Linked DNA regions of Kluyveromyces lactis. The protein of the gene in region 1 interacts with the protein of each later gene in a pairwise test. Links are inferred from orthologs where the notes say so. Each region holds a gene or a part of one and is shown on either strand. Other genes may lie near its edges.

What was found.
Region 2: the proteins of DPB11 (region 1) and DDC1 interact in a two-hybrid assay, tested with the Saccharomyces cerevisiae proteins (5 studies listed by BioGRID). The link is inferred for Kluyveromyces lactis from reciprocal best matches to the Saccharomyces cerevisiae genes DPB11 and DDC1.

Annotation. Positions count from the first base shown.
Region 1 is NC_006042.1:1,325,012-1,329,783, forward strand, and holds DPB11 (protein kinase activating protein DPB11), read right to left. Parts: upstream 2,861-4,772; coding exon 851-2,860; downstream 1-850. Other genes in the region: GWT1 (glucosaminyl-phosphotidylinositol O-acyltransferase), read right to left, coding at 1-545; SIP4 (Sip4p), read left to right, coding at 3,914-4,772. UniProt on the Saccharomyces cerevisiae protein: Has a role in the initiation of DNA replication. Required at S-phase checkpoint. Required for the association of PSF1 with origins. Also required for the proper activation of RAD53 in response to DNA damage and replication blocks.
Region 2 is NC_006041.1:1,723,191-1,727,759, reverse strand, and holds DDC1 (Ddc1p), read left to right. Parts: upstream 1-1,999; coding exon 2,000-3,661; downstream 3,662-4,569. Other genes in the region: APL5 (Apl5p), read left to right, coding at 1-1,810; pyruvate transporter MPC1, read right to left, coding at 3,860-4,234. UniProt on the Saccharomyces cerevisiae protein: Component of the checkpoint clamp complex involved in the surveillance mechanism that allows the DNA repair pathways to act to restore the integrity of the DNA prior to DNA synthesis or separation of the replicated chromosomes.

The sequences.
Region 1 (4,772 bases):
AATTCAGTTCCAGATTTTAATCTTTTGTAACTTATAATACCATTGCTGAATACAAACGATCCAACACCTAGATCCATCAATGAAATGCCCCAGGTTTCTACCTTGGCATATTTCCTAGGAAAGATAGGGAAATCTACAGCCAATATGGCAATGGAAGTTAAGATCAGCATTGTACTCCTATACACTGTGAGGGTTGCTGACTGGTTGCCATTGTCCATTACAGTTTCTTTAATCGTTTCGCGTTTACTTCCCTTAGATATACATCCAAATAATAGCACCGCACTTAAACCTAATATACCTGTAAGAAATGGGTTTTCCCCAAATACAGTAACACTACAGAGGAGACCCATCCAATTCAATAAGAAATCTAACCAGAAGGAGTCCCGGTAGCTGGGATTGTTCGAAACGACGTAGATCCAAGCGGCGTTAGAAAAAATACCGGCTAATGTGACATCTCGTAAATCTGCAATTGAACTTCCGGAGTGTCCGGTAACGAAAGCTTCCTTCCGGTGTTTCAATTCATCAATTACACCAGAAGCATCCATGGTCTGATATCCCCGAGCCTGTATACGTTTCTTGTACTTACTTCCTTTATTGAACCTTCATTGATCTAGAGCTTAATAAACAGGTAGAATGACACTTGTCAATATTTTCACTTTTAAAGGAAGCATGCACAGAAGAGTAAATCTGGAATATAGGTTCAGACACGTAAAAATGACACACATTTAGGAGTTAGAGGCACTTCTAAGCAGAATAAGAATGTTAATGATCTTGTTACAGATAATATCCGAATGGATATGTATACATATATACATACATATATATGGCGTGACGTAATAATACATGAGATTTATGAAACATGAGAAATGATGTCTTTAGCTTGGCTTCTGGTAGAAATCTTCCTTCTTTTCAAATTCTGCTGCACAGATGTCGACGTTGATGCTGATCCGTACGTGATCTGAGTATGCGAAAGATGGTCACTATCATGACCTACAGTTTGGATAAAGCTTGATTCCTCATTCTCTGTATCTACATTATTTGAAAGAAGTTTCCCCCAACGGTTCCCTCTATTTGGAACATGAGGTAGTTCTGCTGATGCAGAAGAGGCAGTTGACAGAGGTGCCGCAATATCAACAGGAGCGGGTTTCTCTAGCAAAGGATCCTCGTTTCCTCTTTCCTTTGGAATTATTTGTAGTGCAAAGTCAGATTTAGAACCCTTGGGACAAGAAATACACCAATTAACGTCATTAAAGTAGATGTTCATGGAAGTCTTATTAGGTTTCATTGCTCTTTGGAAGAGTTCAATGACAAAACTTGGAGTTAGGATGGGAATATGATGAGCTTGCTTAACGAATTCAATTTTCCGTTTCATTGAATTTCTAAACATTTGAGCTTGATTTACAGAGATCTTCATATCCAAATCTGTCCTGAACATTGACGCGTACTTATTTTGCCTTAAAGTATGTTCCTGTGGTATTGAAGTCAATTGGGAGATGTTAACGAGTAAGAAATCCGTCTTCTTCGTCAATTTCTCATGATGGTCAAAACCAATCAACTTCAAAAAGTCTATAATTTTATTGATGTGTAGTAATTCCACGCCATGGAACCCTGTGATATGGAAGGAAAGTTTAGGGCCATGTAACACCGATTTAGGTGGAATGATATTGAAATCGTTGTAGAAAGGTTTTGACCAAAAATCCGGAGGTAGGAGTTGTTCGTAATACAAACATCGTTCGATGAAGAATTCTGTCAACCACGATGATTCATTTGGGATTCTCGGCAGTAGATTTGCCGGAAATCCACTTGGACAGATATAATAAATGGTCTTATCCTTCAGCTGTGCCGGTGACGGTGATGTATCCTCGAAGAGGGAAGACGTTCCTTTATTACCGCGAATGACATTAGATAAGATAGTAACCTGTCTTTTTTCGAACTTGAATAGCACGAAGTGACAGTCCAGGAAGGTCGGTGTATCCTTTGTCTCACCAAGGCATTCTTGATGCGTTGGGGTGGCTTCCTTAATATCAGTGGACTTTGACGCTGAAGCATCACCATCTCTTGCCAATAGTTTCCCCCATATCTGATTCGCTTGAGGCTTAAATTTATCTATAGCAATCTTCAACGGATTCACCGAATCATCTTGTACACCCATGGGATTTGGTTCAGTTACAGATTTTTTCTTATCTGGAACGTCACGAATGTACGAACCAGAACCAATGTCAGAGTATTCAAGTTCATGACAATTTTTCAACAGGTAGAAAGATTGAAAGTCTAGAGTCCCTGATCTGTCCATACAATCAATGATCCATTTTGGATGCACTACGGGAACGTTCTCTTCTAAAGCAGCCTGGACACGGTTCCCCGATAAATCATCGGTAATAAACAACGAAATGCATGCATTGGATGACGAAGAGTTCCTAATGAAATGCGTGGTATCTACCGATTTCACTTTACCCAATTTACACAACTGAACCAACGACTCAAGAGAATAATGGTTATTAGGTCGTATTCTGCCAATGAACAAGTTAAATTTTTCAAACGACCCGATAGAGTACTTCGATTTTAAGTACTGGGACATATCGAATTTAGCCAACTGCAACAGATCTTCTCCTGCGAGCCACGCATCGTACAACTGATCAACGGATCCCGGACTAACAAACACGATATCAGTTCTATTCTTGACAGCAAAGTTATACTTTGCGGTGAATAACTCTCCAACAACCAATACGTTGACTAGTCTTGTCAAATCCTTGGTATAAGTCCCACCGAGTTTTGTCACTTTATGTGAGATGGTATCAGAAACCGACAACGGGAGAGACGTAGGACAGAACACCAGTCCTTGAAATGGTTTGCCGGACATGTTTGCTCTACTTCAGGGAGAATTGAGGAAGAAGAAGAAGAAGAAGAAGAAGCTATCTACACCTTTGTTCCAGCTTTTTAGACACATCATCACCATTCATATGTGAAGGAAGGAAGGATGGATTGGATATCTGTGTAAATACGCGTTTATGTGTGGAAAATAATAAACAGAGAAGAGTTGTAAAATGACATTTGTTTACAGGTCACGTGGACGAAAAACACAAGCTACCCAGGGTTACCCTGAGAAAACGAAAACCAAAACCAAAAATTAAACACTAACCACGTGACTACAGCGAATCTCCCCCTTCCGGCGCCCCCCCCGTCGAGTCATCATCCTTGTCAGCAACCGTCCAGCTGACTCATATATCTGTCACATGTGAAATTGCAAGAAGCAGGCAAACATCGCCACCCATACACCATTCGGACTTGTGACTTCTCCCCGTTAGCCTTTCATCCGGACAAATCCTTTCAGGTCCTTACTCTCCCTACGATAAACCGATATAACTGCACAAATTTTTTTGCTGACTACACGGAAAACCGCGCCTAGAACCGCTTTTTTTGTCCCCAAAACTTCCTTTCCCCAGATCCGGCTGAAAGGGACAATTGCAAAACTGGAATTACACACTACTAACGCATATTAATTAGCCCTCTTATATAGTCTATAGCATACCGAATACTGAATAATATGTCCAACGTCACTTGTGGAAATGTCACAAATGTCAGTTTCTGGGATCCATCAATTAAGGGAAATTCTTCAAACGTCCCAGCTATCTCGGTTATCTCATTGGTTTATTCTCTTGGCTTGTTAAAAGGTAGTTTCTTCTTGCCTTAGTTTCTTGAATTAGATTTCTCGAGGGTTTTTATAGCCAAATATTATTATTATTATTCATGATTCTGAATCAGATATATAAGACAAACGGACCTGGGGAAACGTTCTGCCATATAACCATGAACCGGAAGGTTTATGGTAGGTATCAGATGTTTTTTTTTCTGTTTGGAACGTAAGCTTGCTATAAGCTTCCTGTAGTAGCGCCAAGTATATGTATATATCACTATGCCAAGTGTTTCGCAGGATGATGTAAAGGGCGTGCTTGCTGGTAAGATGTCTACTGGTAATAGCAGTGATGACAGTAGCAGTCAGTCAGGTAAGAAGCGTAAATATGGGAAAGTCGACAAACACAATGAGAAGAAATTGTTGATGCCTACGGCATCAACAAAAGTGAAACGGTTTTCACAGGCATGTGATAGATGTAGGCTTAAGAAGATTAAATGTGACGGTATCAAGCCTAGTTGTTCCAATTGTAAGAAGATAGGGTACCATTGTTCGACTAGTGATAAGCTTACAAGACGCGGGTTCCCTAGGGGTTACACGGAGATGTTGGAGAACGAGGTGATTAAGTTGCAGCGGCTTTGTGGGATGGTGGACGAGAACGGTGAGACCGTGATTGATGGTGCAGTAGCTGCCGTGGCAGCTACTGCACAGACGGGTGTTATTCCTGCTGGCCAGGAATTCCTTAACTCTGTGGGGGAAATGGGAACAAAGTCTTCTGTTTCGGTTCCTCCAGCGGCATCGGCAGCGCCAGTACCGGCCCAGGCCCCTGCGTCCACGTTCCTACCCTTTATCAATGATACTTTCCATAAATTCCCAAACTATATCCATGACCAAGTGTATCTAGGTAATTTCACCTGGAATTCGATCGTCAACCATAATAAATCTCAGTTGAAGTCTTTCCAGTATACAAGGTCTATCGTACAGGACCCGGTTCTATCGTACCTTAACCGACATTTCCCACTTTCACCGAGCGGTGTACCGATTAATATCCCCTTATCTGCTGAGGATGTAATACGATTAATTGATAAGTACTTGAACTCGAACCAAATCTTCCCATATCTCTTGGGGACGTCATGGCACC
Region 2 (4,569 bases), on another chromosome or scaffold:
AGATGACTATGATACCGCACATCAGTGTTTGAACCATTTGGAATCGCTTGTCCAATCACTTGATCCAAACTTGAGATACATCAGTTGTGTGTTGTTCTATCATATTGGTAAGATTAACTTCGAATTCATTATGCAATATGATAAATTGGTGATAGGCTTGTTGAAAGATGTGGATATATCGATCAGAACCAAAGTATTGGAATTATGCTCTGGTATAGCATCAACTGACAACATCAAAAATTTAGTTAGAATTCTAATCAAGCAATTTGTGGATGTGGATACAGTGCATGTCAATGATCAAGGTGTTCAAATAGACATTCCTTTAAACTATAAAGTGAAAGTTGCCAAGACTGTCTTAGATGTCTGTTGTATAAATGATTACGAGAATATCAATGGTGACTTCGACTGGTACTTGAAAATATTGACGGATCTCTGTATAGTTTCACAAGATTTGAATAATTTAGAGGTATCAACTTTGTTAGGTGATAACTTTAGAAACATTATGGTCAAAGTTCCAAGCATGAGGGATGCGGCTTTAGAACAATTAATCAAATTGACTACAAACGATGATATTATCGCCAAGCTTCCTAACCTACTAAAGGAAGGAATATGGTGCTTTGGGGAATATTCCGAGTTAATTGATAACTGTGACACTCTCGTTGGCATACTCCTAAACAAAGCCAATAAACTTCCAGACACCGTGATACAGACAATGATTCCTGCATTAGTGAAATTATTCTCAACCTATGCTAACACAGAGGGTAGAACCAAATCTGAAATATCAGATCTTCTTTCTACACTAATCGCATTCATGGAACAAAAATACAGATCAACGAATTTTGATATACAAGAACGAAGCGTAGAGTTCTATGAAATGTTAAAACTCTGTCAAGATGCTTTGCAAGATGAAACGGAAGGGTTACCTCTATTAATTACCGACGTTTTACCTAGTCTTTTCAATGAGTATGAACTTGGCCCAATGTCACACGGACAACAACAGCAGTTGGTTAAGGCGTTAACACTCGATTTAGACACTCCATTTTTATCTTCTGTTGAACTCGAAGAATTAATGAAAAATGAAGAACTATATGAAGATGAAGCTGCATATTATTCCGACAAGGAGAGCGTTAAATCTGCTGCAAGCGCTGGAAGTTCTGACGGATCTGTAACTCAGGATATCTCGTCAGAGAAAGACATTTCAATGACAGAAGAAGAACTTGCTGCTTTAGAAGAGCGCAGAAGACAAGAGAGGTTGGATAATCCGTTTTATTTGAATGATGATAAAATTGACCGTGCAGAAACGAAATTGATAGAATTGAGTGATAACGATGATGAGGGTGAAACAAAAACAATCGAACCCGTCATCAAAATTTCGACGAAAAAGAAGAAATCTAATAAGTCACCATCTGTACAAATTTTGTCAGATATTGTAGTGGCTCCACCATCCACTATCACAAAGGAGGGGAAGAAGAAATCAAATACTTCTGGGCATTCAGATGCGATAACTCTTTCCACATCGAATAAATTCAAATCTTTTGATTTTAGTCGAAAGGATAACATTGATTACGACGGTGAATACACTGTTGATCAAGAGGAGTTGGAAAAGCTAAAAAATAAACTTGCAGAACAACACATTAGTGACAATTTAACAGCCATCCAAGATGACAAAGAAGAAGTCATAGTTATTAAAAAGAAAAAGAAGAAGAAAACCAAAGATGGCAGTAAGAAGGAAAAGACTAAGAAAAAATATAAAGAGCCCGCTGAAAAAGCTTCAACTCCAGCAATTTCTCTAGCTCCAAACGAATCATAATAACAGATTAATATAATCACTAATCCATTCGCACTATTTCTTTATAGACATAGGTTCAAATATTTAATCTGTAAAAAGATAAATCACGTAATTGCAAGAAAAAACACGAACTTTAGATCTAGTGAAGAGTTTTTTATCACCGCCAGATAAAGGGATTCTGACTGGAAGTTGTGACAACAGGCCATTGCAATGTCATTTCGTGCTTCCATAAACAGCACGAATGAACAGACCATATGGGGTAAATGCTTGGCAACTCTTTCTCAAATAAACCCTGATGTCTTCATAACAATCACCGAAAATGGTGTATTGATATCATCCATGAATGCAACAGACACGACCATGGCCAAGGTACGATTTCCTAAGTCGTTCTTTACAGAGTATCACTTCGAGCCGAAGAAGATTGTATTTGGTGAATCTGGAGTGCAGCAGATCACCGATTGTAATGACATTCTTCACACAATTTATAGTTTCAAAGCGAATGCAAAGTATCTTTCCCTATTATCACTTAAACAAGAGGATACAATTAAAGAATACATGTTAACTATCGACAATTGTGATAATTGTTCTGAAACTATAGCTAACAAACTCATAATCAAAATGAAGACAGCATCTTTGCTAACTAAAGAATATCAAGTTAATTTTGATCCATTGGAAAGTGTTCAGATCATATTAAGTCTGAAATATAAACAAAAATTCCTTTCAGTATACAACAACAAAAGTAAGGGCAGATCATTAGATCCTCGGTTAGTGGATTATTTCAAATCTTTACAAACAGAATTAGAACATGATATGTTTAATAGAGGTATCGCCAATGAACACAATATTGTGAGCACAGTGAAAAATACACCGTTGACGGTTAACGACGAAATCAACTTCTTAAGTTTTGATCAATCAATACTAAGAAACTTCATTGACTCTATTATGTCTAATGTGATCGAGGAAATAAAATTGGAATTGACGAGACATACTCTAGCCATAATAGGATTTACAAAAGCCGTGTACAACATGAAAAGTCAAGGGTACCTCAAACAAGCAGTTACAGTAACGAATACATGTAGCGCAAATGATCTAGAACATTACTGCATATTTTCAACAGAAAAAAACGACGGTTCGAGACCTTCAAGCAGATCACAAAGTATTAAGAAGAGCATTACGTTCAAATTACGAGATTTCAAAGTATTCTTAAATGGACTTAATTGTTGGAAAACAAATGACATGATAAGAATCTGGTTTTGCCAACCTGGTGACCCCATTCTCTTTGAAATAACAAAAGATGGGGTTGTATTGGAATTAGTGCAGGTAACTGATACCGAGGGTAGGGTCGAAGAACCAGAGGATTCTGTCACCCAATTTAACCTGTCACCAGAAAAGATAGTTTCACCAATCAAGAAGGATACCGTAGTGAAACCAGATAAGCTTCAAAGGCCGGAAAGTAAGCAGATGCTGTATCCACATACAAAACGCTCACTATTTATAACGGATGAGGATGGAGCAGATGATGATGACGAAGACGAAGAAGGAAGGCAATTCAGGTTTAAAAGGTGGGGGAAACAAAATAGTAACACTACTCCCAATTCAAACACTGGCTCCCAGTCAACACCATCGAACACAACAACCGAGCCGTCAATTAGCGAGCCAGTAAAGAGAATGAGAACAACTGTCGAATGGGGAGGAACAATTGAATCGAACAATGTCGGTACAGATGAATCTCATCAAAGAGAAATGAACAAGGCTGCTTATCTAAATAATTTGAAAAGACAAGCAATCCAAGAAGATCTCAATCTACAGGAAGAAGATGATGGCATGGGTCCCACACAAGCTGACAGACCTAAAGGTTTGTTCGACTCTTGATAATAAAGAACGAAAGAAGTACTTTATTTTTCATTTCGAAATGAATTCATAAACTGTAATTGAACATATAGACATATAATATACAGTACGTAAATAAACTTAGCATTAAATCTTAGATAACAGACCTACACAGTAGTGTAATCTAAGCCATGGGAGAAAGAATGTTGTTTTGTCGGCAGGTTACATTTTCTCTTGCATCTAGGCTGTCTTGGCGACATTGGCGTCAGTAGCGTCAGCTTTCTTGCCACCTAGATAATGATGGTTTAAATATCTGTAACCTTGCACAAGTTGGGCTGTTTCATTCACAACGTGACAACCGAATAACAAGAAGTTCCTTGGGGTAACAGCTAGGGAATATCTCATAAACACACCAGAGTACATCACTAGAGCCAGCGTCATAGGTCCAGAAATCATCTCCGGATCCTTCTTCAAATCGTAGATGGCAGCAATTGGGATACCGAAGTTTGAAACTGGACCCCAGAAATGTGTGGTGAAGACATACTTTAAAGTTTCCTTGTTAATGTATTTGGAAATCAAAGATTGACTAGCAGCTCTCTGTACTGGTTGGGACATGATTCAGGGATTATAAACTGTTGCCGAAGTATAATTTACTGAGTTAATATTAACGTAAACCAAACTAAAAAAAGAAGGATAACAATGAATGAATGGGAAAACGAGAGGCCAACTAATAACTCAGATCGAGTACCAAGAAGTTCTTCAATGTACCTTTAAATCTTTTCTGAAAACATTTAAACATTTTTGTTGAGCTTTAAAAGTCTTCAAGGTTTCGAAGCTTGAAAAATTCACCGCTGCAATACGATTTTCACTGGTAAACCCGTTGGTGAGAGACTACCCACTGCACAGCTGATGGAAGTAAGAGGTATAAAACTACATACATGGAGGGGCCG